Drosophila melanogaster: one gene and its partners. The protein of the gene in region 1 interacts with the protein of each later gene in a pairwise test. Each region holds a gene or a part of one and is shown in the gene's direction. Other genes may lie near its edges.

What was found.
Region 2: the proteins of CG6149 (region 1) and Pmi interact in a two-hybrid assay, tested with the Drosophila melanogaster proteins (one large-scale study listed by BioGRID).
Region 3: the proteins of CG6149 (region 1) and CG4313 interact in a two-hybrid assay, tested with the Drosophila melanogaster proteins (one large-scale study listed by BioGRID).
Region 4: the proteins of CG6149 (region 1) and CG10444 interact in a two-hybrid assay, tested with the Drosophila melanogaster proteins (one large-scale study listed by BioGRID).

What each region holds. Positions count from the first base shown.
Region 1 is NT_037436.4:11,432,964-11,438,419, reverse strand, and holds CG6149 (uncharacterized protein), read left to right. Parts: upstream 1-2,943; 5' UTR 2,944-2,958; coding exon 2,959-3,663; 3' UTR 3,664-3,725; downstream 3,726-5,456.
Region 2 is NT_037436.4:5,777,298-5,786,448, forward strand, and holds Pmi (Pmi), read left to right. Parts: upstream 1-2,753; 5' UTR 2,754-2,813; coding exon 2,814-2,836; exon of another isoform or gene 2,837-3,086; coding exon 3,087-3,235; intron 3,236-3,290; exon of another isoform or gene 3,291-3,292; coding exon 3,293-3,477; exon of another isoform or gene 3,478-3,539; coding exon 3,540-3,700; coding exon of another isoform or gene 3,701-3,704; exon of another isoform or gene 3,705-4,253; coding exon 4,254-4,284; 3' UTR 4,285-4,394; coding exon of another isoform or gene 4,395-4,425; exon of another isoform or gene 4,426-4,533; coding exon of another isoform or gene 4,534-5,011; intron 5,012-5,327; exon of another isoform or gene 5,328-5,373; coding exon of another isoform or gene 5,374-5,552; intron 5,553-5,619; coding exon of another isoform or gene 5,620-5,946; 3' UTR 5,947-6,183; coding exon of another isoform or gene 6,184-7,158; 3' UTR 7,159-7,388; downstream 7,389-9,151. Other genes in the region: Myt1, read right to left, coding at 467-602, 661-1,025, 1,082-1,227, 1,290-2,244; PGRP-LD (peptidoglycan recognition protein LD), read left to right, coding at 4,534-5,011, 5,374-5,552, 5,620-5,946; Cralbp (cellular retinaldehyde binding protein), read right to left, coding at 6,184-7,158. UniProt on the Drosophila melanogaster protein: Plays a role in mitochondrial morphogenesis.
Region 3 is NC_004354.4:2,049,049-2,056,670, forward strand, and holds CG4313 (uncharacterized protein), read left to right. Parts: upstream 1-3,635; 5' UTR 3,636-3,697; coding exon 3,698-4,257; intron 4,258-4,768; coding exon 4,769-5,392; intron 5,393-5,455; coding exon 5,456-5,897; 3' UTR 5,898-6,366; downstream 6,367-7,622. Other genes in the region: Sik2 (Salt-inducible kinase 2), read right to left, coding at 6,870-6,977, 7,072-7,622.
Region 4 is NT_033778.4:20,269,943-20,277,581, reverse strand, and holds CG10444 (uncharacterized protein), read left to right. Parts: upstream 1-3,082; 5' UTR 3,083-3,343; coding exon 3,344-4,325; intron 4,326-4,382; coding exon 4,383-5,164; 3' UTR 5,165-5,929; downstream 5,930-7,639. Other genes in the region: CG9143 (uncharacterized protein), read left to right, coding at 1-185, 244-363, 421-873, 932-1,115, 1,178-1,436; CG11788 (uncharacterized protein), read right to left, coding at 1,497-1,596, 1,655-2,794, 2,854-2,891; CG8908 (uncharacterized protein), read right to left, coding at 6,797-6,977, 7,560-7,639.

The sequences.
Region 1 (5,456 bases):
GTGCCTTCCTTTTAGAGTAAATAAAATTTACGTAAGCTTTTCACCAATAGGAGGCATTGAATATTGGGGATTTATTTACATGCCACAAATGCGTATGCACATAATTTGCATGAATGTTACTACAAAATGATGTCCTGACTGCGGAATTAGGCGACATGTGCCGAGGGGAAAAAAACCGAAATTCAAATATTTCCAACCGAAATTTAAGTATGCGAGCTCGAATGCAAAAAAGGATAAGTCGAATTCGCTAAAAAATAAAAAAAAGAAAACAGAAACAAGGAAAAAGGGCTTATGGCGGATTTATTTGGCAACACACGTGTCTATGTAGTCGGCAAATCCCACAGTCTGGAAAGCATTTGCCTTCCCGATCAAAACCCAACATCATACAACTGAAAAGCAAACACAGGTTCACGCAATTCAAATATTACCGTGAGCTCTCTTAAAAGATACAAATTTGCAAAATACACACACAACAAAAATCGTAGGTGGGGTTTTTATGAAACATGAGGAAAAGGTAAACGAAGAGGAAAATTCAAAAAACACATCAAGTTATCCAATAAAATGTATATTTTCCGATGATTGTATGAAAAGTATTATAATGAACATATGCACATGTTTGTTATATTTTAGTTATCTGCTGCAGACACTAAACGAGTGGAAGTAAGTTTTGTCACATCTTTCTTTCTTTTATTTGTAGTTTAAATATTAATCATCCTTTATATTCGACATATATGTACATTTTCTCAAGCATAAGTGTGTTTGGCCATACAAGTGGATCAGCCAAGTTGCTCCCACAACCGATGGCATAGCAGCCATCGTGTAATTTCCCAGCCTACTTTTCCGCCAAAACGTTTTGCGTCTAATGAGTTTTCTACTTGCGGTTTCGGGGAAAATTTGCGCAAAAATGCGACTCTTTACATTTAAGTGCCGAAGGGGAATGGAAAATGGGTGGTTGGGTTGTTATGGGGCATCGTGGTTTTTACCTTGGTGGTGAGAAGTGAACAACAGGACCGTATGCGCTGTAAATGTTTTAGTGGTTACCGCGTTTAAGTCATTAGAGAAAATTCTTGGCGACCAGAAAAGGGTTGGGTGAACTTTGCTTCCAGAATTTGAATCTCAAAGTCGCTGAGCTAAATGTACGTACATATATTATGCGGCAGTTTTTGGCTGGCTTTGGAAATTTCAATAGAGGCGGCAAATGCTTTGGATTTAGTGTTTACAAAGCTTGTGAACAGTGAAAAGATGATCCAACATTAATTATGTACGAAACTGAAACTGTGAGGGGAAACAAAATAAGGAACTTTAACAATTTCTTTAGGTATTCCCTTTGAAAGTTTCTAAGAACATGCTTGATAACCTTTAAAATCTAGAGTGGAATATGTGGAGTATGTATACGTCCTTGAAATATATATAGTGTGTTTTTTATACGAAAATAAAAATGTGTCTGTAAAATTAATTAACCAACTTAAGTTGATTTAAACATGGTTTTCTTATTCTTATATTAAACAAAGTGATAAAACTCAATAGATTATTTATAGTGTAATTACACTCAATACACCTACAAACTCAGAGTTCATACAAGTGCTAACTAAACAGTCTGCAACATTCGGTCCTAAAGGGATTGATACATTTATTTGACTGCCAAATATTGTACACCCGTTTTTATGTGCGAAAATATCGGCCAGAAATGTCTGCCTATATTTAAATAACTCTGTCGCAATGACCGTAGCGAAACGTGTCCGACAACGGTTTTAAAAAATTAACAACATTGCTCCAATTAGTCTGGGCAGTGCGGATCATAATTGTATGGGCACACATCGTTCTTATATAGTATATACATATGTATATTTCGCAGGCATTCGAATATCCAAATTTGCGTCACGGCACTGAGTTTTTGCGACTCCTTTCGTTTTTAAATCCATTTGGTTATCACCATGGACAGACGCTTAAATTGAATTTATAAATAGTAACAGACCACTATTTAACTAATAGACTCAAATTCGAACAGCAAAGACTTACTAATCAAACAGATGTCGACTTACTTAAGAGCTAGTTTTTATCGATAAGTGAGCTGGATTTATTAAAAAACTAAAAAAAACCCAGCTAAAAGTCCTTGAAATTTTTACTTTTATTTTGCACTGCTAATAAGATATAATTTTGGGCTTCCTAGTTGATTCAGTATTCCGAGATATAATGTATATTTATAATTATTTACTAATATTTGTTAAATATAACTAATAATTATCAGGTCACTGTTAAACAAATAGTTTTACCTATTCTCGCTTTCGCCGTCAGATGGCTGAATCGAATTTGGCAAAAAGGTAATTTAACTATTTACGAATGGTTTTCGTCGGACATATGGTGGTGATGGGCCTGACTAATTATCCACTGAGATCTGCACGGCCGACAAAGGAAAACAAACAAATATTTACGGAACACACATCCATTTGATTGCCTGCGGTTGGTGGACCCTTCCTCTTCATTTTCATCGCAACATCTGGTCCTGAAATTGAAGGACCTCTGACCAAACGAATCAGCTGTGTCCAAGGTCGCACCCCTGTAGTTTTAACGGCAAACTCCCCATTTCCATTTGAGTCAATACTCATCGCCTTTTACCTTTCGGTTCCGCAGTGGGTCAATAATTAAACTAACGATGAAATTGATACGTTGTATATCCAAACTCACATTTATCTATAAGTTTTAGATACGGTATTTATGTGTTTCCTTCAAATAGTTGTTTGAGTAGATTACAAAACTAGAAACATGGTTGAAATTGTTATTTATTTGTTTCAATGGAACCTATTTAAACTTTCTCACCCAACTTGGTAAAAATTAGAGCTTATTTTGCATCACTATTCTAGCGAATCCGTTTCGGTCATAGGCTATTTCCCTATGCCGGATCGATTTGCACCACATTAGCATAGCTCCATCGACAAATGCGTTAGTATCTATCCGGAAATGGAGCGACTTAATTTGTCGAACAGGGCTCGCCTGTTTTTCCACCTGTCGGCCACCGTTCACCTGGGCTATGCCATTTACTTTGACTGTCGGTATGCCCAGTTGCCACAAGTGGCGGTGACCCTGCGCCTGGAGCCACCGATTGGTGGCAAGTTTAAGTACATGACGTTTCTGTGCGGCCTTTTGCAGTTGGGGTACTATACACTGGCGCTGACCTTTGACCTCCTCCGATTGAGATCTCTAAGGAAGCTGCGAGACTACATCTTCGCCACCTTTGCCGTACCTCTGGCCCTTACGGTGGGTCTCACCTTTTGGACACTCTTCGCCATCGATCGGGAAGTGATATATCCGGTGCTTTTGGACCTGGTCTATCCCAATTGGCTGAACCACACCATGCACACCTTCGTCGTAATCTATGCCTTTGTGGAGTTGGGTATTACACGACATCAATATCCGAAACGCAGTCGAGGATTCACTGGACTGGGTGCCTTCATGTTGGGATATCTGGTGTGGATACATATCGTTTGGTTCCGGACCGACATCTGGGTGTATCCCTTTCTGGGCGGCATCGCCTGGCAGCTGAGAGTAATTTTCTTTGTCCTTATCATGGTCCTCGGATTCATTTACTATCTCTTCGGCGAGCGAGTTAATAACGTCTTGTGGCAGCGATCTACTGGTGTCCACAGATGGATCGATTCCCATTGAAATGCACATTTGATAGTTTAAGGATAGGAACATAAATAAAGTATATAGGATATGCTTCTTATTAAATTAAATATGACTACTGTGGAAGTCAAGCTATGCAACTATTCAAATCGTACAAAAGGCGCAGTAATAAAACTAATATACATTTTTGTAGAAACCATAAAATTCAATTCGAAAGTAATAAAACATGTTTCCGGTACAAAGATCAATTGCAATATAAAAGTCGAAATCATCTAATTTTTCAACACACATAACGGAACCGGAAATCGCTCTGAATATATTATTTTGGTTTTCAAATGCGTTTATCATCGAAAAACCAGCTGCTAAGAAGCGGAATCCATATGGATTCGAACATATTCTCATTCAACTATATGATAGTCACGTGCGGAAATTACAGCTGCCAGCTGATTCTGGAAAACCGATCCATTGTTTTACTCAATCCTTTCAGCGGGAGGTTCCGGTTTGGCTAGGATGTGGGCTCCGATTTCGAATATTTCAGGACACCACTTGTGCCAATATTTCGAAAGTGATCTCCGGACAGCCGAAACTCAGAGAAGAAAGGCACAGTTTTTCATTGTTTGCTGCAAAGGCAGATGGGTAACAGCCCATTTCTGTCAATCACTCATTTGTGTTTTCTTAAGGCGGTCTGGTTGTAAACATTTCTATTCTTCCGGTTGTATGCCATTATTAGCAAATAACTAAATTATTGCTTTCTTACTTGCTTGTTAAAACAGTGTTGCCTGAATCGTAAAAATGCATGAAATTAGACTTAAAAATGTTAATATAGATGTTACTTCAACAAAAATCAACTAGAAATTCACTTAATGAATAAGCGTTTGATTGGAACTTTGGTAATCTCTACCTAAAGCGCAGATCATTTTGATGATTCAATTCTAGACCAGCAACATATGAAAAGGTTATTTGGACTACGAATTTATTAAAAAGGTTATAAACCTTTATACAATAATATTAACTGAGTCCGAACAGAAGCCGCATTGTTGACAAGCCGTTAAATTTCGATTAGCACACGCGAACAGCTGTTGAATTGTTTGATCAATTTTCGGGAGTAGCACGTTTGAAGATCGTTGATGCATACAAACCAAGGTCAACGACAGCTAAAAAAAAAAATCCGCCGAAAATGATGGCCAAAATGGTGACTAATAGTATGTGTATATATTTTAACAAAATTCGGGAGCCAATTAAAAGCTTAATAGCTTTCCCCAAATCGCACTAGGAATACTGCGGCAAAAGGAGCTCAATTGCATTGGCCGAGAACTGGCTTTAATTGCTGACTCCGCTGGGCAATGGGCCATTAAAACTAATTGGTCTGATTGATTGTACTCCTCGTGGTGCACAGAGAAACATTGCGAGAAACAATGGTCTCCATTCATATCAGAAAAAATATCATTTTCGAAAGTTTTCAGAAGGGCATTGGCATTGTTTAATACGATTTTTAAAAATATTAGAAGCAGTATGTAAGTACTCAGATGGCTTTTCTTTCAGTGCGGACTTCTCACATCAGTCATCGCATTCGCGTGCATTGTTTGTTGCTCCTTCACAATTTAATTTAATTAATGAGCGTGTGTATCAATTGGAGTGCAATTGTTTAATTACTTGTATCGTGTCTTGTTTTAGACGACGATTCTTGAGGTTCCCATCGGTTTGGTGCATTTGCCTGAATCTAGCATCTGGATATATTTTCAGTAAACTATCTTTAAGATAAAACTATCTTTCAAGATCCGGATTGGCCTAAGGTCACTTGTAAAACGATGAAGGCTTAGACTATTTTTCAA
Region 2 (9,151 bases), 5.7 Mb from region 1:
GTTTTCAACATGTGCGAGCGGCCAGTGTTACCAGATGGGCAAAATACTTTTCCCCGAAACGAAAGGTACGTTAGAATTCAAAAATGTTTTAAAAAAAATTTTTATAGTTATACGTTTCTTGGTTTTTACCTTTAATTTGTTGTTATCATATGTCATAGATGGCATTCAGTGCAGGTTTCAATTTCAATAAGTTTTTTATTTTTAAACTTTTCAAATCGCTTTTCGTATATATATCACATGATTATATGTTCAAGTTCAACAAGTTCTTCTAAAGAAGCATTAACATTACACAATCGTAAGACTATATCTAGGGAACTTCGTACAACACTACGGTCTAGAACTAATCAAAATACAATTAACGATATATTCTGTTGCCATATGTATCTGGTATTCGTTTCGTAACTGATATATATTGGGTTTATCATAAATTCATTCGGTTTACGTTGCTCGCTGGCACCGTACTCACTCACTCGTCGTCATATTCCAGGACGAAGAGCTTTTTGCGTCGGAACGATGAGGTGTCCAGGACCTTGGCGGAAGATAGGGCGGAACACGGACTCTCGAAATCGTGTACATGAACGTACCTGCCCATTGAATCAACACTGAAAGCGGATGGGTTATGTGCGCTAGTCCATGAGCTAATCGATTAAGGGTACTTACTTATTCTTTAGCAAATCCAGACGGGATTTGCCTTGGTTTGTGTTCAATGGCGTGGAATTTATTACGTTGGGGCTACCCTGATTGGAGAGGTCCAGCGGGTCCTCGCCGGAAAGGAAGTCGGAGGCATAGCAGTCACGATTGGCAATGGGTGTGGATCCTACCAGCTGGAACTCCACCTGAGGCACCAGAGGCACTCCCTTTGACGAAGGCGAGGAGGGCACTATGTTAATATTGGGCTGTGAGGCCGTTATGGGCTTGCATAGATGCAGGACCTCCAGGAAGTATAGAAGGTAACGAAAGGCGGCTGTTTTCCAATTGCACATTCTTCCCCAAACGGCGCGGCGAGATCGCCTAAAACTACGCGACTGCAAGTTGTCAAGGGTTAAGATTGATTCTCAAAGATGTGCTTGGGAATGCTTACCAGCATGCTGAAGTTCATCAGCGACTTGCGCTTCTTTTGCAGGTACTGCAGCTTGGGATGTGAGAGTAGCTGCTCGGCCGTCGGCCTCTGCGCAGGATCGGGCTTCATCATGGACTTAATTACCGACTGCAGCTCCAGTGATATTTCTGTGCGAAGAGAAAGGCTTTAGCAACCTGCCATTTAAGTAGGCAGCTAGTTCGCAACTCACTGTTTATGAACTCCTCGGGCAGAATGCCGTGCCTCAGTTCGTGCCACAGTGGGCCGTTGGAAGGAAGATCCATGTAGCATGCCAGCTCTAGCATGGCAATGCCCAGACTGAAGATGTCCGCAGCCTTGGAGAAGTGACCCTGCAGGATCTCTGGAGCCATATACCTCGAATCTCCCTCCGTGGCGTGATGGCTGTTGGCCCTGTCCACATCGATGACCAGTCCAAAGTCTGCCAGCTTGCACGTCTCGTCGTCCTCGCCGATCAGAACGTTGTCCAGTTTAATGTCCAGATGGATGAGATTCCGGTCGTGCAGCGACTTGAGACCCCGCAGCAGATCCAGCAGGATGTGCCAGATGCGCTCCTCCGGTATCCTTTGGCAGCGCAGCAAGTACTGCTCCAGACTTTCGCGGCACAGCTCCATTTGCATGTACAGTCGGTCGTACTGCTCCCAGGCGCGGATGAACCGGATGCAGTTCTCATGGCCGGAGAACTCCTCGTAGCGCCGCACCTCTTCCAGCCGCTCTGCGCGGTACTGTTCGCCGCGGAACAGTTGCTTGGAGATCTTGACGGCATATAACTGGCCGTCGGAGCGATCGCGCACCTGGAATACCTCGCCGAAGGATCCTTCGCCCAGTTTGGCCAGCCTTTCGAAGCACTGCTCGAAGTGTGACAGGGAGAGGGTGCTCAGCTCGGCCTGGACTGGTGACGAGGGCAGCGTACTGGAATCCGAACATCCGGCGTCCCGGAAGGAGATCGCGTGCGCGATCTGGGAACTGTTGGTGCTACAGGAGCCCAGCGATTGGCTTCGGTTCAGATTGTTGTTGTCCACGGCGACGTAGCCACGCGTCTTGTACTTGGGCGGCCGGAAGCGATTGCTGTTCTCCCCATTGCACTGTTTGTGTCTGTGTTTGTCGTCGTGCAATTCCGGGAGGGGCAGGCGATGATGCTTTTCCATTTTCAATTTTGGGTGTCTTTTCTTATGAGTGGGCGAGTGTGACCATATCGGACAGCCGGCGAAATCCTGGCTTCTTCGCTTGGGACAATAAGAGCCGGCTAATTCATTTAACACATGTATCTTATATTTTTGATCTTTATTGGGAGTATAATTATTGATTTCAATTAAGTTAAGCTCCTATAATCGTATACAGATTTTACATGATTTGCCTCTTAAATGCCTCAATTATCGTAAATAGAGATGGGAGAGTTGAGTAGTTGGAAGAACAATAGAAATACTGAAATATTTTTAAAAACTTTAATCTAATCTAATTGTCTTTATGAATATAGGTAAATAAGCAAATAAATTGCTAAATAGTGGAATTAAGCCTTTATATATAGGCCGCTCTTTAAAGGAGAATGGTATTTGCGAATACGATATAATTCAAAAGTGCCGCCCAACTGCGGTATTTTTTTGGAAGATTGCTATTTGCAGTATTATGCCCTTAGGTACCTGGTATATTTTAACGGTCCAGCTGCGGCCGCACTGAGTTTATGAACAACATAGAAAACAACAAATTTATTAGCAAAATGGTTAGCAGAAATATAGAAAGGTAAATACGGCGCCTAGTTACGTGAATGCAGTGGGATTACGCAACACATTCCACCTGGGTGCAGCCAAATCCCAGTTCCCAAGTGCACCTGCCCTGGTTATGCAATTTACTAGGCGGCTTCTTCATTTATCTCGTCTGCACAATGGCTTCTCTGCTTCGGTTGTTCTGAGCGCTTGATCTTGACCTTAACCTTGAGTTCCACATCAAGATAACCATGATTGATTCGTGTATTGTTGTTCTAATTGTGCAGCACGAGTAAGGTGCCCACTTTCCATGTCATCCGCGAGGTCTACGACAGCTCCAATGCCCATGAAAGATTCGAGGCTGAGCTGGACAAGGCGCTGGAAGCCAAGTTGGACTTCATCGTTATAGAGCCGCCTCGGCTGGGCGACGAAACTGGTAAGCACTTGGAAGTGCTTCCTTTTAAAGCACAGTATTAATTTCATATCTCCACAGGTCGTTGGATTTGGGTGGGCAATTGCCTGCACAAGACGGCGGTGGCCACTGGAGTGGTTTCCCTGGTGGCCAGCTTGCTGTGGCGGGATCGCCCCATCATTGCAGCTCCCGCTTGTGCACTCTCGATTTTTTGCACAGGACTGTACACGGTTTCCTGGAACTACGATCCATGTTGTCAATATCAGGTATGAAAGGAAAAGTTCTAGATATCCAAGATTGAGAAGCTCACTTTGGTTGTGTTTTTCAGGTGGAAAATAATGACACCGTGTTGGAGAAACTGCCACTGACAGATGTCTCCTCGCCTGTGATTTTGGGCTACTCGCCCAACTCAAAAACCAAATACTTGCACCGTAGCGTATCCTTGCTCTCGGCTGCCCTGTGCGCCTGGCAGATTTGGAGGTCCTACAAGTAAGGGATTTGCAGGAGCTCTGAAATGTCCAGGTGCTGGATTAGGCCTGTCCCCTGTCTCGCGGACGCGTAATACCTAATAAGTTAAGTTTAGGCACATAGGCGAATGCATTTCTTTTAGATTTTCGAACGATTTTAACACAATGTATTGTCTTTCGTGAAACTTTTAAATGTTCCCATAAACCAGTGTCCATGTCCAGTGTTCCCGTGGCTGCCACTTGCACTGGCTAGCATGCTCATAACTTATTACGGTCCCCAAGCCCAAGTTAGTCTTAAGGGAGGAGCAGCCTCTGCACTGTAAATTAAGCAAAGCCAACCTCTGTGTATAAAGCGAAACCCATTTATGATTGTTATTAGAGTCTAGTTGAAGATATCAGCAAACGAAAGTCAAGTAAACGCGATGCGAATGTTACTCCCGGCTTTAAAGTTACTCCATAGCTAAGAGAGTCTAAGAGTGAGTGCGATAAGAGACCCCTTCGAAATTCGTAGCTGATGATTTAATGGAAATGTTGTGCTTCATGCGGGCTGGTTCTCTCCCTTGTTCTCGTCTCAGTCGTTTTGTGCATTCTGCTGGCAGTGGTTGACAGCGGCGACTCCGATCGATCGAGTGGTGTGTTCCAGTGCGATCCGGTAAGGAGCTGACCCACTCACAGCACCACCTTGATGCCGAGGCTGCAGCCAGAGCGGTCTAGCCATGGACTCCAGCCACATAGCCGTGCGAGTGGGTAAGTCCGACGATAGATAAGCCCTTGTCTTGATAAGATATAGTTAAATGGGTGAGATATACGAATGCGTGCATCTCGGCTGGATATCCCAGCTCAGTTAGTGGCAAGATGCCGATCTTTGTGAGCGCCTACAGTCTGCGTGCCATCAGCAAATACTATGCCCACCAAGATCAGAGTGGCCTGGACAAACTGTGCCACTTGACTAATCATCTGGTCGCCTTTATCTTGGCTAAACTCCATAATTTGTTGTTTGCTCTATATTTCGCTACGATAGCACGTCGTAGTCCCTCGCCGGCCGCCGTCTCTCAGTCGTCGTACGGCAGCCTGGGTTCCAGCCAAGATATACACATTCGAGTGGACAAGGAAGGCGTTGCAAGCGAATCCACTCCCTTGCTGGCAGCTGCTCAGCGGTCCATCAAGACGTCCTCATCCCTCACAGCCTCAGTCTCAGCCTCCTCCACGACGCCTTCGAATTGCCGAAGGAACCCGACGCTCCACGAAGACTGCTTCAATTGGCGCTCGGTGGGACTGCTGGTCATGTGTGCATCCGCCTTGGCACTGGCCGCCTATTTGCTCTGGAGACAAAGTGAGTTTGCCCGCTGATGGTGGACGTGCACGAGTACGTGCTCAAATCGTTATTGTTACATATATGCATAATAAATAAATCTCAATTAGCTGTGAGTTATGATAAGCTGCTCATGTGCGTTTTGATGGGCAGGCGAAAGTATTCAAAGAAAAATCGATCTATACTCATAATATAATGTATCTGGCATTAAATTTGTATAGTAAAACATTTTAAAGCCATCCCTCATTTTTTTTTTTTGTTTAACTTAAGATTCGTTTTATTTTTCGTATGCATGCATATGACTCATTGTTAAATTTTTCTAAATTCGCCTTTATAGGTGGACAAAGCCACTTAATGACTGAATCACTTTGCACTGCTTGCAGCCCAAACGCCGGACTTTGGCTATCGACTCAGTATCGTGGGTCATGGCATATGGTCGGATATGGAACTTCAGGGTCGGGGAACTCTTTTCGATCCGATCGGTGTCGGCACAGTGATTTTTACCCACACTGGAAGCAATGAATGCCACGATGATTGCCCGGATGTATTGCATAAGCTGGAAGTGAGTTAATCGGACATAAGTATGTGTAGTACATTGTAATCAAAGCTAAATTCATTCATCTCCTTAGAGGTCGCATGTGGGGGAGCTGCCCTACAACTTTCTGGTCGCCGGTGATTGTCAGGTTTTCGAGGCACAAGGATGGCACTATCGGAGCCAGTATCCAAGGGATCTAAATGGAATAGACTCGTTGGTGATGGCCTTTGTGGGTAACTTCAGCGGCAGACCACCCATCGATTGCCAGTTGATGGCCGCCCAGGCTCTGATCCTTGAGTCTTTAAAGCGTCGGATTCTGCAGCCAATTTACCAACTCTTCGTGTTGGGCAGCTATACGGACGCACTGCAGCGGGAACTGAGGCACTGGCCGCACTACGCGAGCCACCAAACGTCCAAGTGAAGCAACAAAGAGATGATTCCAAATTATTCCTCTCGTTTATTGTACGCCAAACACAAACACAGTATACAAAGAAGCGCAGGATGAGTAAAGCGGTTGCCACCGATAAGCGAATCAGGGATCCCCAGGATCGGGCGCTGGCCAGGATCGGGGGACCGGCGAAGCGTTGCGCATTGGGTTAATTGATTGGATGTTGCCTAAGACTAAGGACTATAAACTTAAACTACAACTGGCGATCGGTTAGTCGAACTCCAGTTTCCGAAAGCTACCCTCGATGGACTCGATTTGTGAAACGAAGTTGGGTCCGCCGGTGGAGGCCTTTCCGGCATTGAAGCTGCTGCGCCGCTGGATGCCGCGATCGGAGCGCAGTATGCTCTTGTCCAGACCGAGAATCAGGTCGCGCTTGGTCGCCAGCTCCTGCTTCCACAGCTCGATCATCTCGCGCATGGGCACCTTGCCACCCATTTCCAGCGGCAGACAGCCCTGGTCCACGCTCTTCATCAGCTCCTTCTCGCTGCCGTAGATGATCAGGCGGTTCTTCATCTTGGAACTGACGCGGTTCTTCACGAAATCAATAAGCCACTTGAGTGTGGATGGTACATTGATCAGGTGGATCTCCTTGTGACGCATGGGCAGCGATTGCTCACCCCACTTGAAGATGCGGGCAAACTCCGTGGGATTCCAGTTGGTCACATGCGCCGTGGTCACGCCGGCGAAGTCGCCCACATGCGTTAGCCCAGTGATCTGTGTTTCCTGATCCTCCATCAAGCACTCGTAGGTGAGGAAGTGCGCCTTGGCCTGGTCGCAGCTTGTGTGGATCTTCGGATTTAGCCCCTTGGCATTGATGACCACCACGCGGCGACCGTGCTTGTCACGCTGTGGCACCGCAAATATGTATCCCTGATCGATGAGGTCGCCGAGACGCGGCTCCAGATAGTCCAGCTGGGTGCTCATGTGCGGGAACGTCCTCCTGATGTTCAGGTACTTGAGCAGCGTCTGCTCGGCCATCGGCACACTGAACTTCTTGGCGCGCAGGAAGCGCAGCAGGAAGGTATCGTCGCATCGCACATTCTGCAGATCCTCGTTCTTGGCCACCCAGTTGCGCAGCTGCTCCAGCGACTGCTCCCGCGTGCATCGATCCTCGCGCAGCTCCCGCTTGGCGATCTTCAGCAGCGCCTCTGGCAGGCCTGTCGTCTCCCCCTGATCCTGCACCATATTCTGCTTTCCTTCTTCGCTGGAAGATCTGCGATTCGTTGGTTCTGCTCTGTGGTCACGCGATTGGCATGGACTGCGGTCACTACAAAGAATGATAAGAAGTCCACGGATTAGTCGGGTTTTTTCTCAAATCCACATTGTATGATTAATATTTATACTATATATATGTATATGTTCTTAAAGAGATTGAATTTACTTACTTACATACTTGTAAAATATATAATTAAATTAAATAAGAACAACTTTTCATCTTGACTTACATAGAAAGCTTCAATATACTGAATCTACAACCAAGTTAGGCTCCAACTTCTTTATAAAAAGTGACGAATATCAAGTTTGAAGCCTTTGCTTTAATCAAAACAAAAAAACTCACTAGGCAAACGACGAAACTTATTGTTTAATAATTCTGCATATATGTATTTATCAATGAGATTTATTAGTGGTCTTCCCATTGAAATTGGTTCAAGGTCCCAGTGATCTCAAGGCGAACGCCACCGGATCACGGATCGTTGTAATTTGCAAATATTTGCTAATTAAAACTCGCGTATGAGACGCGTTTTTGTTAAAACAGAGCTGCGAAAGCGACGAAATAAAAAAAAAAACTTATAATTTATTCACTTCTTTGTTGTTAGGGGAACCATAAAGCGACCACCAAATGCCATTATGGTCGCATATAAAACATGTATGGATGGCAAAAAGACTGAAAAAGAAACCAGGCGAATTGGTTCAAGTTCAAAACTGTTTACTGAAAGCGGGTCAAAAAGAAATATATGTATGTATGTATGTCTGTATGTTCGTAATTAGCCAGTACCAGAAAGAGTTTCACTGTTTGAGCATCCGAGCATCATTCATTGCATAACAATAAAGAGCGTGGAAAGCAAAGAAAAGTATGTGGAAAGCGACCGAAACAATGCCACTGTTTGACTTTTGCAGATAAACAAAGTGCAAACATGGATTTATATCAATATTTGCACACAATTTGTGATCCGAGCTGCGGATGGATTTGATTGTTTTATGGCCCTTTGTCTGCGCACTTTGAATCCCCCAGCCAGATAATCGAGATCGAAATCCGTTTTCCCATGACTTCGACCCATTTGCATATGTACATACATATGTACATATATACATACATATCTCTTGGGTTCGAATGTTGCGAACTCTGTGCCATTTAATTGATTCGATTTTGGTCCAAAATTTGCATTCGATTTTGCTTATTTTTTGTTTAGCTTTTTTTTTCCTTTTGTCGGCTTTTCAATTTTCGTTTTGTCGGTTTTCCCCCCGCTCCCCCCGGAAATGCGATTTCAAAATGTCATTGGGCAATGCGCCCGTTGGATCCCGCTTGCCATCTCTTTCGTCCGCCAGCTACCCCTGTCTCTCTCTCTCTCACTCTCCCGCTCTTCCACAAGTTTCAACATGTTTATTAGGAGCTCGTTGTGGCTTGCGTGGCTTTTGTGTGGCCAACTGAACAGGCCAATAATGCAACAGGCGGTGCAATCGTGGCTTATTTGGTAATTGTTATTCCACAGGCTCCTTTATTCTCCGCGTTGATTGATTTTCGAAAAGGTTTCAGGCTAATCATGTTTGGTTTTTCAAAGCCAGCACACAATTGCAAATCCATTTTTGATCAAAAGGGTTAATTGGATTTTGATACATTTTGATACATTTTGATTGCTTTTTGATTGAATTGCGCATGAAAAGCTTAAAATTAAAAAAAAAAAACAAACTTTGCGAATGGAGGAGGGCGGTTCGTTTGGTTATTAGTCCAGATTATTATCCTATAACATGTGGTTATAATCTTTTCTTTTTTTTCCATATTGTTTTGCTATGAAAATGATTGAAAATGTTGAATGAAATGCTGTAAGTAATTTGATTAATCCTTGTATGCTATCCTGTTCATATATCCTTTTCGTTTCAGTTTTGGCTACATCCTTTCAGTTGCTCTCGAAATTATCACAAACACACACACACACATTGGCACTTACACTCCTTTTTT
Region 3 (7,622 bases), on another chromosome or scaffold:
CCCTCGTTCCCCTTAACCCCGACCAGGTCACGGCCGCCACTTAGCACGGTCCGACGGGGCGTATACGCAATGTGTCTGGCTCGCTTACACATACACATACACATACGAATTTAGAATATTTCCTTATCTTATCAAAAAAGCACTTACCTAGCTGAATTTGGTTTCGCTATTTGGTAATCCTCTGCGATTCTAGTAATTCTAACGATCGCTGGGCTCGCTCTCGCTCTCTCCTTCCTCTTGGCCTGATTGCTTTCTCCGTGTCTAGGTCTCCTCTACTCTCCTCAACCTCTCCTCTTCCCTCTAAGTCGTGTGCCGCACCACACTGACGGACGCGTTATCAGTGGTCAGGAGGAGAGGATGGACAGTGGCGGGACTTGGGAACTGGGTATGGGGAAATCGAAATCGCTTGTTTATTTGCTTTCTGCTCACGTAATGGAAACTAGTGCGGTTGCGATCTTCTCTTCTTTGCTCCCCTGTCGTGCTCCTCTCTCCACTCTCTCCAACTCCGATCTCCACTCCACTCCTCTCCAACTCTTACTCCACCACTTCCTCTTTTTCGCTCAGGTTGAGCGAGGTGAAAGAGTGAGTGAGTAATGCTGTTAGCAATGTAAACAGTTTACGGCATTCGGCATTTGCTGGGGTTATTCATGAATCGCTGTGTTTTTTATTGTTGCTCTGGGGACGCCACTGGAGCATTGCTTTTTGTTTTTGTTATTGCTTGCTGCTGTCGGTGATTCAAAAGTCGCACCAGCTTTCATGACTAATGCTTTTGAATCGCGAGATCAGGTAGAGAATAAAAGGGTTACAGGTTGCCCTAACTCAGCACTTGACATAATCACAAAAACAAAAAGGAACAGTCGAATTAAATATCTAACAAATAGGCACACGCTCGCGACTGCTTCAACGGTATCGTATCGAATGTCACTCAAGTCGAACTGAAATCGTAGTTACTTTTCGTTGTTTATTATCCGTACTGGTTGAATGTAACGGACAAATTGCGTAGCGCCTGCGTTCTCGTGCCGGATCGTATTGGATCGTCTATAACTGCCGGATCGAGTGCAGTTCGTCGAGTGCGGGCAGCGTAGAGCGAGTCGCGATATTGCCAGTTGACAATCGGCAGCCCCCTCTCACTCTTTACTCTCACTCTCAACTAGTGTCTAAATGACTCTCCGCCGCCGGCCAGTGGCGTAGGGAACTGATTGAGGGAGGGTATACTCCGTTCGTTAGATATTCCGTCTGAACGCACGTCAGTTGCGCTCCATGTTAGTCAGGTTTCCCCTCATTTGGCGCGCCCCTGTTACTGCCCCCACGACTTGGCGCTCTCTTCTGCTCTCTTGCTCGCTCGCACTCCCGCACTCTCGCCCGCCGGCCGGAGACAGCGCAGAAGACAGACAGGGACAGACAGAGAGGCGGAGATCGGCGATCAGCCATCGGCCATCTGGTGACCGACCGAGGGGCGGGTGTGGGTGGAGGCCGCTCAATGGTTGCCGATCGATCAGATGCATATCGCAGATACGCCGCTTCTGCTTCCTCTCTCCACTGAAGCAAATGTGCAATGATAAGGCTTCATGTGTCTGCATTCTAATGTTTACACAATTGGACATTCGACATCGATCGAGGCGATCCAACATGGCTGCACTGGGAAAAACGGTCTGTCGCATGGTAAGGAACTGATGGTTGGAGCTACCGCACATATCGCATTAGGAACTGTGACCTGGTAATAAATGTTTTCGGTGCAGATATCGAACTGAAGACGTAGGGATTTGTGCGCACTCTCATTGTTTGTTGTTTGCTGCGGATTGTGTGAAGAACACGATAGTTTATGGCTATCTAAACATGGGCCCGTGCGTGTGCGTATGCGTATAGGCGTATATGTAAGTACGCCGGAGAAGTTTACATTAGTCTGGATCTCTGGATCCGAATTCGAATCCGAAGCGGGCGTCGATTGGCGTTCGAATCGTATTCACAATCATATCAAGAATGGTTGATGAGTGGGGGGGGGGGGGAGGTCTTAGTTTCCACTTTTATGCCCATCCCGCAGGCATTTCCAAGTACAGTGGTGGGCGCAAGGATAGTGCACTTTTAATTTCTTAAAAAATGATGGGATTATACGTTTAGATTAAGCTCGATAAAGCCTTGTATTGTTTTATGAAAACGCATGTTTTCGCAAGTACGAGGATGAGCCATATGTTTCGTTATCACGTATTGTATTCCATCCAGTTCCTAGGATCTTAAACTTAAAAATTTCTCGTCATTTAAGTGAATGCGATATGGCGCTATAATTATATTAATTTCCTCAAGAACTGAATGTTATTTTCTTGGGTAGTCGGCTGCAATTCCCGGACTATTGGCCTGCATGAAAACAAACAACGTATTCGTATTCGTGCCGTTGCCAAAGAGTTTTCCCTAGAACCGCCTGTTTTTCTTTTCAAAAGGCAAACAATACTCAATTCGACCCAACAGACGACCCGCACTCTGACCCTCGGAAAAGTAGAGAGGTTTCCCCCGGCATATTGGCTTGATTAATTAAGACTACATATGTACGCTGACGTCGTGTGACACCAGGCTTCCGGGGTTTGACTCATTATTCGAAACGGGTTATGAGAGCGTGAAAAACGCATAGTCTCGAGTTATGATTCAGGATTAATCGCCCATGACTGGAGTATTCATTCTACGCACAAATTCGATCTATAGGCATATTTATTCGAATGAGTCCCTCTCGCAAAAGTTTTGCTTTTTTTTTCAGTTCCTCGCTTCGAATGGATGCCGCCCATTTATTATCCAGAAAATTGCCAGAGGAAACTATGCAACCACACACACAAACACACACACACATGCACACGACCCAGGAACCGAAAAGTTTTTCATTTCAAAAATGCCGGAGAGGTGCGTATGGCCCGAAATCAGGGCTACGAATAGACTCGATTCATCTGTAGGAGCTTATTCATTGTATTCCCAATATATTCATGTAACCTCTGGCACACCGAATTTTTTAAGCATCCAAGACGTATCGGTCAAGGTATCAATTAAGGAGGGGAACTTCTTACTTCATTGCAAGTGATAAGTCTTGAATTGTGTTAGCAATGCAGATAACTTTCCCCATGCTGCTCATGACTTATATTCCACCAGACTGATGCAAAGACTAGTCTAATGCAAGTATGTATGTTCTGGCTGTCGGAATGCTCAAGTATGTAGCTAAAACGTCGAACCATTTTGGGCAATGGTATCCCTGGTCTAGTATCTGAAACTTTGAAAAACGGCAACAACAGCAACATGACCCCGTCAGAATATCGACGAAAGAGCGAAAGAGTCGAGTGGATTGGGGCGGAATGGGGCGGGAAGGGCGGTTAAGAAACAACACCGAATAGGAACAATGTAAACAAAGCGCCCATTCCACACGCAAATTACCAAATTACCCGATGATGAAGTCAATTGTTGTATACAATAAAAATGTGTGTTGTTGCTGCTGTTGCTGCTCTGAGATTCTTTTGTTTTCCTTTTTGAAAGTTTTTCTAGTTCGCCTGCTGTTTTTTTTTTTTTTCTCAATATTTTGTACGCTTGGCTGGCGGCGACTGCCTTCGGGCCCACTTTTTGGGTGGGAACCATGTCGGTGTATGGATGCGGAGAATTCAGTTTTAGTACAAATTCGGCGCAGGAACGAGCAACGCGTCTTTTGCCGAACACAAAGTGCCGCGCGATGTTCCCACCAAAATCCGGACCAACTCCGCATCCGATCTCGATAGCGCTGCCTCTTTCGGATCCCTATGCTACTGATCACATGGCGGATCAGGACGCGGTGTTGCCGGTACCCCTTTCCGACAGCCTGGACCTGGACGTGGACGTGGACCTCAATCTGAATATGAATCTTAATCTCAATGTAGACGACAGGCGCCAGGTGCTCTTCGAGGGCTATTCGGACGAGCTGCTGACCATCGCCTGGGTGGCCTGCATAGTGTTCATCATTGTGGGCGTTCCCGGAAATTTACTGACCATAGTGGCCCTGTCGCGAGGTCGTCAAACCCGCAACTCCACGGCCATATTCATAATCAATTTGTCCTGCTCGGATCTACTCTTTGGCTGCTTTAATCTGCCATTGGCCGCGTCCACTTTCAAGGAGCGGGCGTGGACCCATAGTGATCTGCTGTGCAGGTTGTTTCCGATGCTGCGCTACGGCTTGCTGGCGGTGTCCCTGCTCTCCGTGTCGCTGATCACCATCAACCGGTACATCATTATCGCCCATCCCAGGCAGTATCCAAGGTGAGAATGGGCCTGCCCATATCGGCATGTCCTGCCTAAATCTTGAAGGGTATTCAGAGTGCCCAACTCTTCCTCTTGGTGCTTATCTGTTTATTATGATACGCATGGTAACCTACCACTTAATCTGAGAAAAAAACCCACACATATGTTATTGTGTTTCTGAACTTATAAACTTTTGAACTTGTTTATAAAAAGGAAAATGTATGGCTTCTCGTAGATGTTTTTTAATTAACTAAAAAAGAGAACATTACTTGCTAGAGGCAAATGCTATAGAAAAGGTCGGTTCAGCGATCTCAATATTTTCGTAATAAACAATTAAACTGAACGGAAATTAATATCTTATAAAATATGAACTACAATATTTCTGGAGAAATAAATAACTAGCTAGTTTTTATTTTCGTGAGCTACGGATATCTTAAAATAATATATTTGAATACAATGAGCATATATTATTATCAAATTAGACATGGTACAAAATACAATTCCCACTGGTTCAAATCCGTTCTTCCAGAATTTACCAGCGACGATATTTGGCTTTGATGGTAGCCGGCACATGGATCACCACGTTTTCCATAATGATACCCACCTGGCGGGGCGTATGGGGTATCTTTGGCTTGGACGTCAGCATCGGCTCGTGTTCCATCATGCATGATCGGTATGGTAGATCCCCCAAGGAGTTCCTCTTCATCGCCGCCTTCATGGTGCCGTGCATCTGCATCGTGATCTGTTATGCCCGAATCTTCCTGCTGGTGCGAAAGGCGGCCATTCGCGCGGGAACCGCTGGCAAGACCAATGTCAGCGATGTGACTCCCAGCTCCGCGCCGCAGCATCAGATTCAAGCCATGGCCACACCAAAGAAGCCGGAGAAGGTGACCACGTCCAGCGGCGAGGCGAACGAACCGATCGCAGGACGACCCTTTGTGGTGGAGGAAAACTTAGCGTATATCGATGACAATGCTTCGACGGACAGTCTGCCGATCTCGTACAGCATACGGAGGAGGGATCAGGACCAGCAGCCACCGCCTGTTGATGCCAATGTGGTGCTCAAGGAGCGGGAGAAGGAAAGGGATCGGGATCAGGAAAAGGTCAGCCTGGGACGCAGTCAAACGCAACTAGAGATGGGCAAAACCCATGGGTGAGTAGCTGTTGAAGGCTTCTTTGCCATTTCACTCAACCTTAATGCGTAAATCCATTCCAGAAAGAACCCTATCACTACATCCCTGCGCACCACCTCCTTCACACGGTTTAGCCCGCGGAAATCCCACTACGCCTCCATGGGCAATACCTCAAATGCATCCTCTATTTACCCGGGAAGGATGAGTGCCAAGGACCGGAGATTGCTTAAGATGATACTGGTAATCTTCGTGTGGTTTGTAATTTGTTATTTGCCCATCACGGTGGCCAAAATATGGAAAAGCGCCACCGAGGTGCACTGGTTCAACATTGCTGGCTATCTACTTATCTACTTGACCACCTGCATCAACCCGCTGATCTACGTGTTGATGAGCTCCGAATACCGAAGAGCTTACTGGAACTTGCTGCGCTGCCATGGCTCTCCAGATACCCAGAAGCAGCGGAATCAGGCCAATGCAAAGCGAAAGCACCTGGAGTCCAATCGGCAGGTGAAGGCCACGACGTGACTCCGACAGATGCCTTAACACCTTCATCGTCCTCCGTCCTAGCGGGATATGATATATGTGTGCCATATGGTAGTAATACGATGGGAGAAGTACCCAAATGTCATGTTGAATGATCTGCGGTAAGAAAAAATTCCTTGATCCCCTGGTGATTATAGTGCCTCCAAAAAAGATTTCTAGTCACATGATCCGGCCGGTCGTCCCTTCCACGCACACACGAAAACACAGATCACCCATATATATCTATATCTATATCTATATAATGTAGGAACTCCAGAAGTATATTGCATTTTATACCAAATGACTTTAATATCTGGTTTACATTTGAATTCCATGTTTAAGAACAATCGATGTTTGTTTAAATTTTGTTTTTTTTTTCTTTGCTTGTCGCTAATTATTGTACCAATACATAATAGATATATCCTTATATGGATACGCCCTTTCTATGCCCCCAATAAATGCTTCGAATAATTGATATATGTAGTTACGTTGTTCTCGTCCACTGTCGTGGGGGCAATACAATAGTGTATAGTGTAATCATAAGTAGAGCTATAGCTTAACGCTATTATTATCAATATACATATTGTATATGTCTGCGTATATGCGTACGAAACTTGGACTACTTAAGACTAGTAACACAACTAAATCATTCAATATTACTGCTTCGCCCGGTTCGGTAATGATTCTATCGGTTCCAATAAACGTGAATCGATGTAACTCCGATTCCGATTCCGACCCGCATTCATATCTATATAGGCTATTTATATGTATGTATGGGTGTATATCGTATATGGATCAAATAATTCATAATTGCGATTGCGAGCTTAATAAAAAGGTGGCCCCGGTCCCGGTCCAGCCCCCATTATAGTTCGATGTCCAGTCCTACCCCTTTTCCTTTCCCACCGACTTCCACTTACAAATCTACTCCCATTCGAATTGCCCCAACCCCTCCACCGAATAACATCACACACGGCCTCAGACTGACTCAAGGTGCTCCGATATCTCCAGGATGGGGCTCTCGCTGAGCGGCTTTACCAGCGACTGCCAATTGGGCGTGAAAAGGCTGAGCACCGGCGTCGATGTCTGCGGAGGACACAAGGAGAAAACGGATAAGGTTTATATACGAACTTGGGATGCCTGAGAAATCATCTTAATATGCGTTATCTAGCTTACTTACATGATAGTCGGAGTCCAGGCTGTGACCGTGGGGCGTGGTAGGCTTGCACTTGACCGTGGGCGTACCCGGCGCCGTGGACGGTGGAGCTGAGCATGATACCCCAGCAGCTGATCCTCCGGAACCAGCTCCATTAGGCGCCGCACCAGGCACCTGGTCCGATTGGCTGATGTAGGAAGTCTTGAGGTTCATCTGACTGAAGGCATGAGCTCCGGGCATGGTCATGGAGTGCTGAAGCCTAGGAGTTCCGCTCCTGGGCCGATCAAGCAAGGCCAACTCGTACAACTCGTCGGCCAGGTGATGTTCCGGAGCCGGAGCCGGCGGCGGTGGCGGACCCAGGCTGTGGCCAAAGTGGTGATGGTGGTGATGGCTGTGCTGCTGATGGTGGTGATGTCGACCGGCTAGCTGCGCCTCCAGTGCGTACTGCTTCTGGAACAACTGACGCTTCTGCTGAAGCAGGCGGTGCTGCAGTAGCTGCTGCTGCAGCGGTGGCTTTTGCATCGGGGACATGGGCACGGCCATACCCACGCCCAACTGATGGTGCGTGTATAGCC
Region 4 (7,639 bases), on another chromosome or scaffold:
GATCGAGGATGTCAGTTTCCTGGTCATCGACGAAACGGATCGCATGGTGGAGAAGGGACACTTCGAAGAGCTGCGCAGTCTACTCAAGGTTCTCAATTCGGACGAGCAGAAGAAGCATCAGCGCCAAAATTTTGTTTACTCGGCCACTCTGACGTTGGTCCACGATCTTCCCGATCACATGCAGAGTAAGTTACTCGGATCTTTTGAGATTCCATTAAGTAACCAAAACTCTTTCACTTTCAGAGCGAAATGTAGGTAAGCGGCCCAAATTTGTGAAACAGACGGTGGATCAGAAAATTGAAAGTCTTATTGAGGAGTTGGGCATTTCCCAGCCGAAGATTGTGGATATAACCAGTTCGCAGCGTAAGTATTCATAGTTAATCATGAACTAAACAGCAGATTTATAAAGTCCACTTGCAGAAACCGCACAAACATTGACCGAGAGCCGTCTGCTGTGTCCCATCGATCACAAGGACTATCATCTTTACTACTTTATTCAGCGCCATCCAGGACGCACCATTGTTTTTTGCAATTCCATCGATTGCGTAAAACGACTGGCCACGCTCTTCGGCCTGCTGGACTGCAATCCCCTGCCCCTGCATGCCAACATGATCCAGAAGCAGCGTCTGAAGAACCTGGAGCGATTCCGTGACAGCCCGACAGGTTTGCTGATAGCCACTGACGTGGCTGCTCGTGGCCTGGACATACCGAATGTGGAGCATGTGATTCACTACCAAGTGCCGCGCACTAGTGAGAACTACGTACACCGATCGGGACGCACTGCACGAGCGAATAAGCATGGCATAACAGTCATGTTTATGGAGCCGGGCGAGGTCAAGAGCTATGTGAAGCTGTACAAAACATTGGAGAGAAGTGAGTGAGAGACTTCTAACAGGAAGACAGACGTTCTACATATTCGTTTACTTTTTAGCTGAGGATCTGCCGCTTTTCCCCATTTTGGAGCGTTTTATGGGAGCTGTTCGCGAGCGTGTGAATCTGGCGCGAGATCTGGACAAGGAGGAGCTGAAGCTGAAGCGCGTGCAGAGTGAGCGCGGCTGGATGAAGAAGCACGCTGAGGAAATGGACATGATCATTGATGGCTACAATGACGAATCGTAAGTTTTTTTTAACAAGATCTCATTAAAATGAAGTCTATGACTAACTCTTACTTTTGCAGTGGCAGTGACCAGGATGAGGATCCATTTGTGATTGAGCGACGTCGCAATCGGCTGCGCGTGGAGACAGTTAGAGCGCAGCTCAATGCTCTCCTGGCCCAACCCATCTTCCCCAGAGGCTTCAGCTTCAAGTATCCCAACAGCGAGGCGGCCCAATTAGCCACGAGTCATACTCAAAGTGCCGTGGAGACCATGAAGGCGGCCATAGAGGACCAGAAGCAGGCCAAAAAAGATCGCAACAAGCGAAAACGGAATGCCTAATCTAACTTAAAGCTGTTTTATTGAATAAGAGATACAAAGCTATAGCCTTGGATGTTTCCATCAATGCTTTGAAACAAAGTATCGCACACCTCCATCGGTCAATGAGCGAGCGTGCTTGGCCAATAGTGTGGAAACGGACAAGTTTGGGGTGGTAAAGCACCTAGTTATAAAACCGAAAATCAAAAAAACAATCTAGATATGTGTTCATCATTACTTACTCTATGTACGGTTCCATTTCCTCCATCGTCCATCTCTTTTTAGTCTTAAATAGCGCCCGCATGCGATCGCTTATATTGGTGGGCAGTAACTCCTCTGCCAGGGAGCGTATGCAAGGCTGCGCTCCCTCCTTGTCGCAAATGCCCAGACCTCGTAGGTACTTTAAGTCGCAGGACATGCCCTCGGGCAGTACCTCCTGCCAGGTGCGCATGAACTCCTCGTTGCGAAAGCGCAAACCCGGCTGAAGAATGTTCTGTGCCACAATGCGGGAGACCAAGGACTCCTGGTACTCAAACTTGCCCGGGCAACGTTCACTGGGAATGGTATAGATATCAAACAGCCCAGCCACAACATCCTCTGGAGCTATGCCCTTCAGTGCATTGATGGTCTCCTCCCGTTCCACTTCGTCCAAGGCCCAGGAGTTTTCGCTTATCAAACCCAGCATCATGTTAATAATGCGATACTCGTATTCGTACTCCATCACGCGCATTCGCCCGTCCAGTTCTATGGCTCGATATTGGTTCAATCCCTCCATGAACTGACCGCGGCTGCACTGCACCGTGTCCAGGAGCTGCGAAAAGGTAAAGAGTAGCTTCTGCTCCACGCAGAACTCGTTCTCCGGCCCCGAATATCGAGTCAGCTGCAGTAGTTCACCCAGCTTGCGAAAGCGCGGCTTTATCTCGCGGCACTCGAAGTACTCGTGGAACACCTTGAGCACCGGCCGCTGCTCCAGAGTTCGCGGCACTTCCAGTTCATCCTCCGTGCTGTCATTGAGGCTGCGCTCCAGGGAGGCGTTGGCGTTGCCAGTGCGCGGACTCTTCAGCGGCGAGGTGCTGGTGGCGGCGGCAAACTTGAGGTCCGGTACCAGCAAAAGGCTATTGGATATTTCCGCGCCCTTCACGTCGTACGTTCGCTCATCGGTGCACAGCACCAGCTTCTCGTTCTGGCCACCCTTGAAATATAGCGTCTGGCCGTCGCGGATTTGTCCAAGCATGTGCCCATCGAGCTCCAGAAGGCGCAGATTGTCCGAATCCACGTCCGCCGAGGGAAAGTACAGAGCCTGGGTGAGTTGGGTCAACTGGCGCTCGTCCAGTTTCGCATGCTTCACAATGGCCTTCACATCCTCCGGCGTGCGAACGTAGCTATGGCGGGTGGTTGGGTAACATTATAACTCCTACGCAGGCATACCAAAGGCACTCACAGCTGGGCAGCAGACTCATCAACCTCCATGGATTCCATGTTCGCTGCATGTAAACAAAACAAAAAATTAACCAAAACAATGAGCGGGAAAAAGTAGTGGGACCAAAGCACAGCAATGTTGCTTTCGTTGAGGGTATTCAATGGCCTTTCAATATGTAAGCTTAATGTGCTTGGAAAACATTACAGCATTAATCCGCACACCCTGCAAGGGCACACTCACCGCTCAGCTGATCAGTTATTTAACGGTCGTAGCCTCGGCAAGAACGTTTCTTTTTTGAGCGGAGATTTCGCGAGCACGCGTCTTGTTTTCCGCCGTTCGCCGTGCACTTGGACGCGCACTTTAGAAAGCGTTGACTGCGCCAAAGGTCATTGCTGGGCAAGAGAAGCGTCCAATCGCCGCTGGTGGTGACGCTTGTGGAAAAATCAATTCGGACCAGTGACGGACGTCGAACTTCCAGTTCTCTGACAAGCGGAATCCAGTCAACAACAACATGCCCGTGGGAACGTTTGACGCCTGGGATGCGGCCGTGCTGATCACCATCCTGGTCATATCGGCTCTGATTGGCATCTACTACCGGTATACAGGCGGCAAGCAAAAGACCACACAGGAGTATCTGATGGCGGACCAGAGCATGACCACTTTTCCGGTCTCCTTCAGCCTGATGGCAAGCTTCATGTCCGCCATCTCACTGATGGGCGTCTCCAACGAGTCCTACGAATTTGGTACCATCTTCTGTGTGATCAACATTGCCTACGTGCTGAGTACGCCCATTGCCGCGTACTTCTTCCTTCCTGTTTTCTACAGGATGCGGACGACCAGTGTGTACGAGTATCTGGAGCGGCGCTTTGGCCAGGCCACCCGGCTGTCCGCCTCCCTGGCCTTCACCGTGCAAATGGTGCTTTACATGGGCATTGCACTCTATGCACCAGCGCTCGCTTTAGAAGCTGTAACCGGCATTCATCGGTCAATGGCCATCGTGGTCATTGGACTGGTGTGCACCTTCTATTCGACACTTGGCGGCCTGAAGGCGGTGCTCATCACGGATGTGTTTCAGTCCTTCCTCATGTTTGCCGCCATCTACGCCGTGATTGCCGTGTCGGCCATTAAAGCCGGCGGATTCGCGGCCATCTGGGATGTGGCTGTGGAGCGAGGACGCGTGAACTTCATTGAGTTTTCATTGGATCCCACCGTGAGGCATACTTGGTGGTCTCTGATCATTGGCGGCATGGTCACTTACCTCTCCTTGTATGGCGTTAATCAAACGCAAGTACAGCGACTCCTGAGTGTCCGCAATTTGAAGAGCGCTCAGTCGGCGCTTTGGTGGAACCTGCCCATCCTAGGAATGCTTAGTTTTAGCACCATTTTCAGTGGACTGTCCATATTCTACTATTATCGAGATTGTGACCCTTTGCTAAAGGGACGCATCGACAAGCGGGATCAGATCATGCCCCTTTTCGCACTGGAGACTATGGGTGAGTTGGAAAGACATCCAATAAGAATTAGCATTATTTGATTTCTTTTTCCGGCAGGTCAATATCCTGGACTGTGTGGTCTGTTCGTGTCCGGAATATTCTCCGCCAGTCTTTCCACGATTTCGTCGGCAGTTACCTCGCTGTCGGCTGTAACACTGGAGGATTACCTGAAGCCCTTGTACAAGGCGATATTTAAACGGACGCTAATTGACTCCAAGTCCACGATGCCCACCAAGATTGTGGCGTGCATTTTTGGCCTGCTTTGCATCGGTCTAGCTTTTGTCGCTGGCTCCATGGGCGGAGTTCTTCAGGCATCGCTTACCATTTTCGGTGTGGTAGGCGGTCCGCTGCTGGCCATTTTCACACTGGGAGTCTGCACTACACGCAGCAACCAAAGAGGCGTGCTGCTTGGCTTCCTCGTTTCCCTGATAGTTTCCTTCTGGATGGGATTCGGCGGACCCAAACCAAAGCCAGTTACCTTGGAGTTTAGCACAGCGGGCTGTGAGAATGCCACCGCGGTAATGGCGCGTGCCATCGAGCTCAGCTCAAAGAGCAGCGGAGTGGTCATCGAACCCGACTACTTCTGGTTATATCGAATTTCTTACTTGTGGCTGAGCGTCATCGGCTTTCTTATTGCCGTGGTCGTCGGCTATTTCAGCAGCATTGTGCTGGCTCACTGTGGAAAGGCAGAAAACGCGGAAATCTATTTGGACAAGTCTCGGAAGCAGCTGGACTACGATCTCTTCGCACCCATGCTGTCCCGCCGCTGGCGACGCCATAAAGAAGAACAAGACCAAACTGCCCAGGACGAAACGCTCACCAAACTAACTGAGCAGTAGTTCCGCCCGGCTTAGATTTAGTGTAGAATATATACATACATATAAAAGAATTTCCAGAAGGCGTCGGCTATTTGGTTAGTCGTGTTACGGATGTCGTACCTAAAAGTGCATAACTATGTGACCTTTTTGTATACCTGTGTGAACGAAACTGGCATACAGAGCGACCAAAACAGAGTCTTCCATATACACGTAAACAACGATAATTAGTAGTTATTAGTCGTGTTGCAAATGTTCACAAGCGCATCATTAAGAGGCCTCTTAAGAATAGTCAAATGTTTTTTACAAGAACGTATCAAAAGTAGGAGTCTACCTCAATGAACTTTTACAGAGGGACAATAATCAATTTGGAGCCTAAAAGCGAGTTGGCCGACTACTTTCCCATGTTGAGCATTGGCAGCCACAATGCCCCACATAAATTATTGATTTAGTAGTACATCTAATTTTAATGGGATATTTATATTCATACCTCTTAGTTACTCGATATTTGCATACATAGATAACATAATAACATTACAATAATACACTACAGTGAGCACCGCCTATAAATAGTTACTACATGGCTCTTAAAGCATTACATTGCGCCACAGTGTGAATTCTGTTTACTTATATACCTCTACTATATGTACACAAATATACTATAGACTAATTATATACTCGTGTCGTGTCGCAATCAACCATTGAACAATAACTCGGAGCAGTGAAAGTTATGTGTATTTGTAAAAGCCAAACTGCTGATCATTAAAGAAATCTGTTCTACAAAATGTGATTGCCTTTTTTTTTATTTGCTGCGGAAACATGATACTTGCAATCCCCAGCTGCAGCTTGGATTGAAATAATTACTTCGGTTGGCTCATGGGTGTTTTTCAGAAATCACGATTTGTCGAATACTTCCTGCGATAAGCAAATTCGTACGCTATCAGCTACCAAGGTTATGCGAGGCTCTCCCAACATTGCTCACTCGATGAGGAATCTATTTCGGAACGAATGCCATAACTTTCAAGCGTTTACCTTTGCCAATTGACTATTGCGCCATGCGGGAACAAAGTCTAATTGCGGGTCGGAGACAGCAAATTGCTTAAAATTGGAGAAGCCATGGGTCAGCATGTGAATATGGGTTCGCCTGTAAACAAATGCCAATTGATAGATTTGTCGAAACATCATTAATAAACCCAGACCACGCTCGTCTTGCTCATGGAAAGTTTTCAGAACGGATTGGGAGTTCAAAGTACGAATAGACTCGCATGACACACATTTTTGGCTAATGTTCTGGCGAAAGAGGAGACCAAAAGCGGTGGATAACATAGTTACGCCATAACCGATTTTTGTTTACTCTAACTTAGTGTGCGATTTACTATTTTTAACAATATTTATGTTAACCAACAAGAATCTTAAGGCATTTATTTGTATTCATTAGCAACGTCATAAAATATAATAACCATACAGATTTACATATAAGAGTATCAATTTGGCGACTGATGATTGTTTAGCCTTCATTTTTGCAACGCCAACAGATGATTTGGGCGATTTGTTAGCATTCGGAAGCAAAGCTTTCACAGATAGTTTCGCTGATACGATAAGGGTTTCGTTTGGATAGCATTCATTGAAGTGATTCATTGGGGAAGATTTATGGTTCTATTGATTCTGCTTCCTCACAAACTTCATGAACACATCCTGGAAAGTTGTATGGCTGACCGAGTAGTACAATATCTGCATCTCATCCTTCAAGTTCTCCATGTACTCGAAGATCGCGGACCACTTAATCTGCCCTCTGGGAATGCAGAAGGTGATCATGCCACGGTAGGAGTACTTCTCGCTGGGGGGAACAATTAATTATAATTAATTAAATATATACAACTCTTAGCTCTTTAAATAAATTACAATAACTATTATGCTCGATTGAGATGTAAGGTCATAATAACTTTCCTTTAATCAATCATGACTTTCTTATACACAACGTAAACAAGATTATTTTCATTTCTGTGCCAGTATGCGCGATTTGCCCAGACTATTTATATATGAGTATATTATTTGTAAATAAACCATATTCACATCCAAAGTGAGCAGCAAATGTTTATGTAGATATCTGTGTGCGTGCACTAGTGTATTGAAAATTTCAATCTGCTGTTGCAAGTGGTCAATATCGTCAATTAGCAATGATCGTGACCCAAATAAAACGAAAATAGAAAATCCTACTTTATCAATTAATATGGATACTGTTTTAGTTTGATTAATTTTTTCAGAAAACTTTGCTTTAAGACGATATGTAATGATGTCAAAATATGCATAGAAAATTACTCATACGAAACATATGCCAAAAATAATCTAAGCAAAAAGCTTGGTTAGCACATATCAATATTCTGATATAACACTTTAGTAAATATTTTTATGTACATACCTGACAGTGCTGTATGGATGGTCCTTTTTGAAGACCTCCTCCAATTCCTGCAGCAACGCCTCGTAGTCCTTGCGCATGTT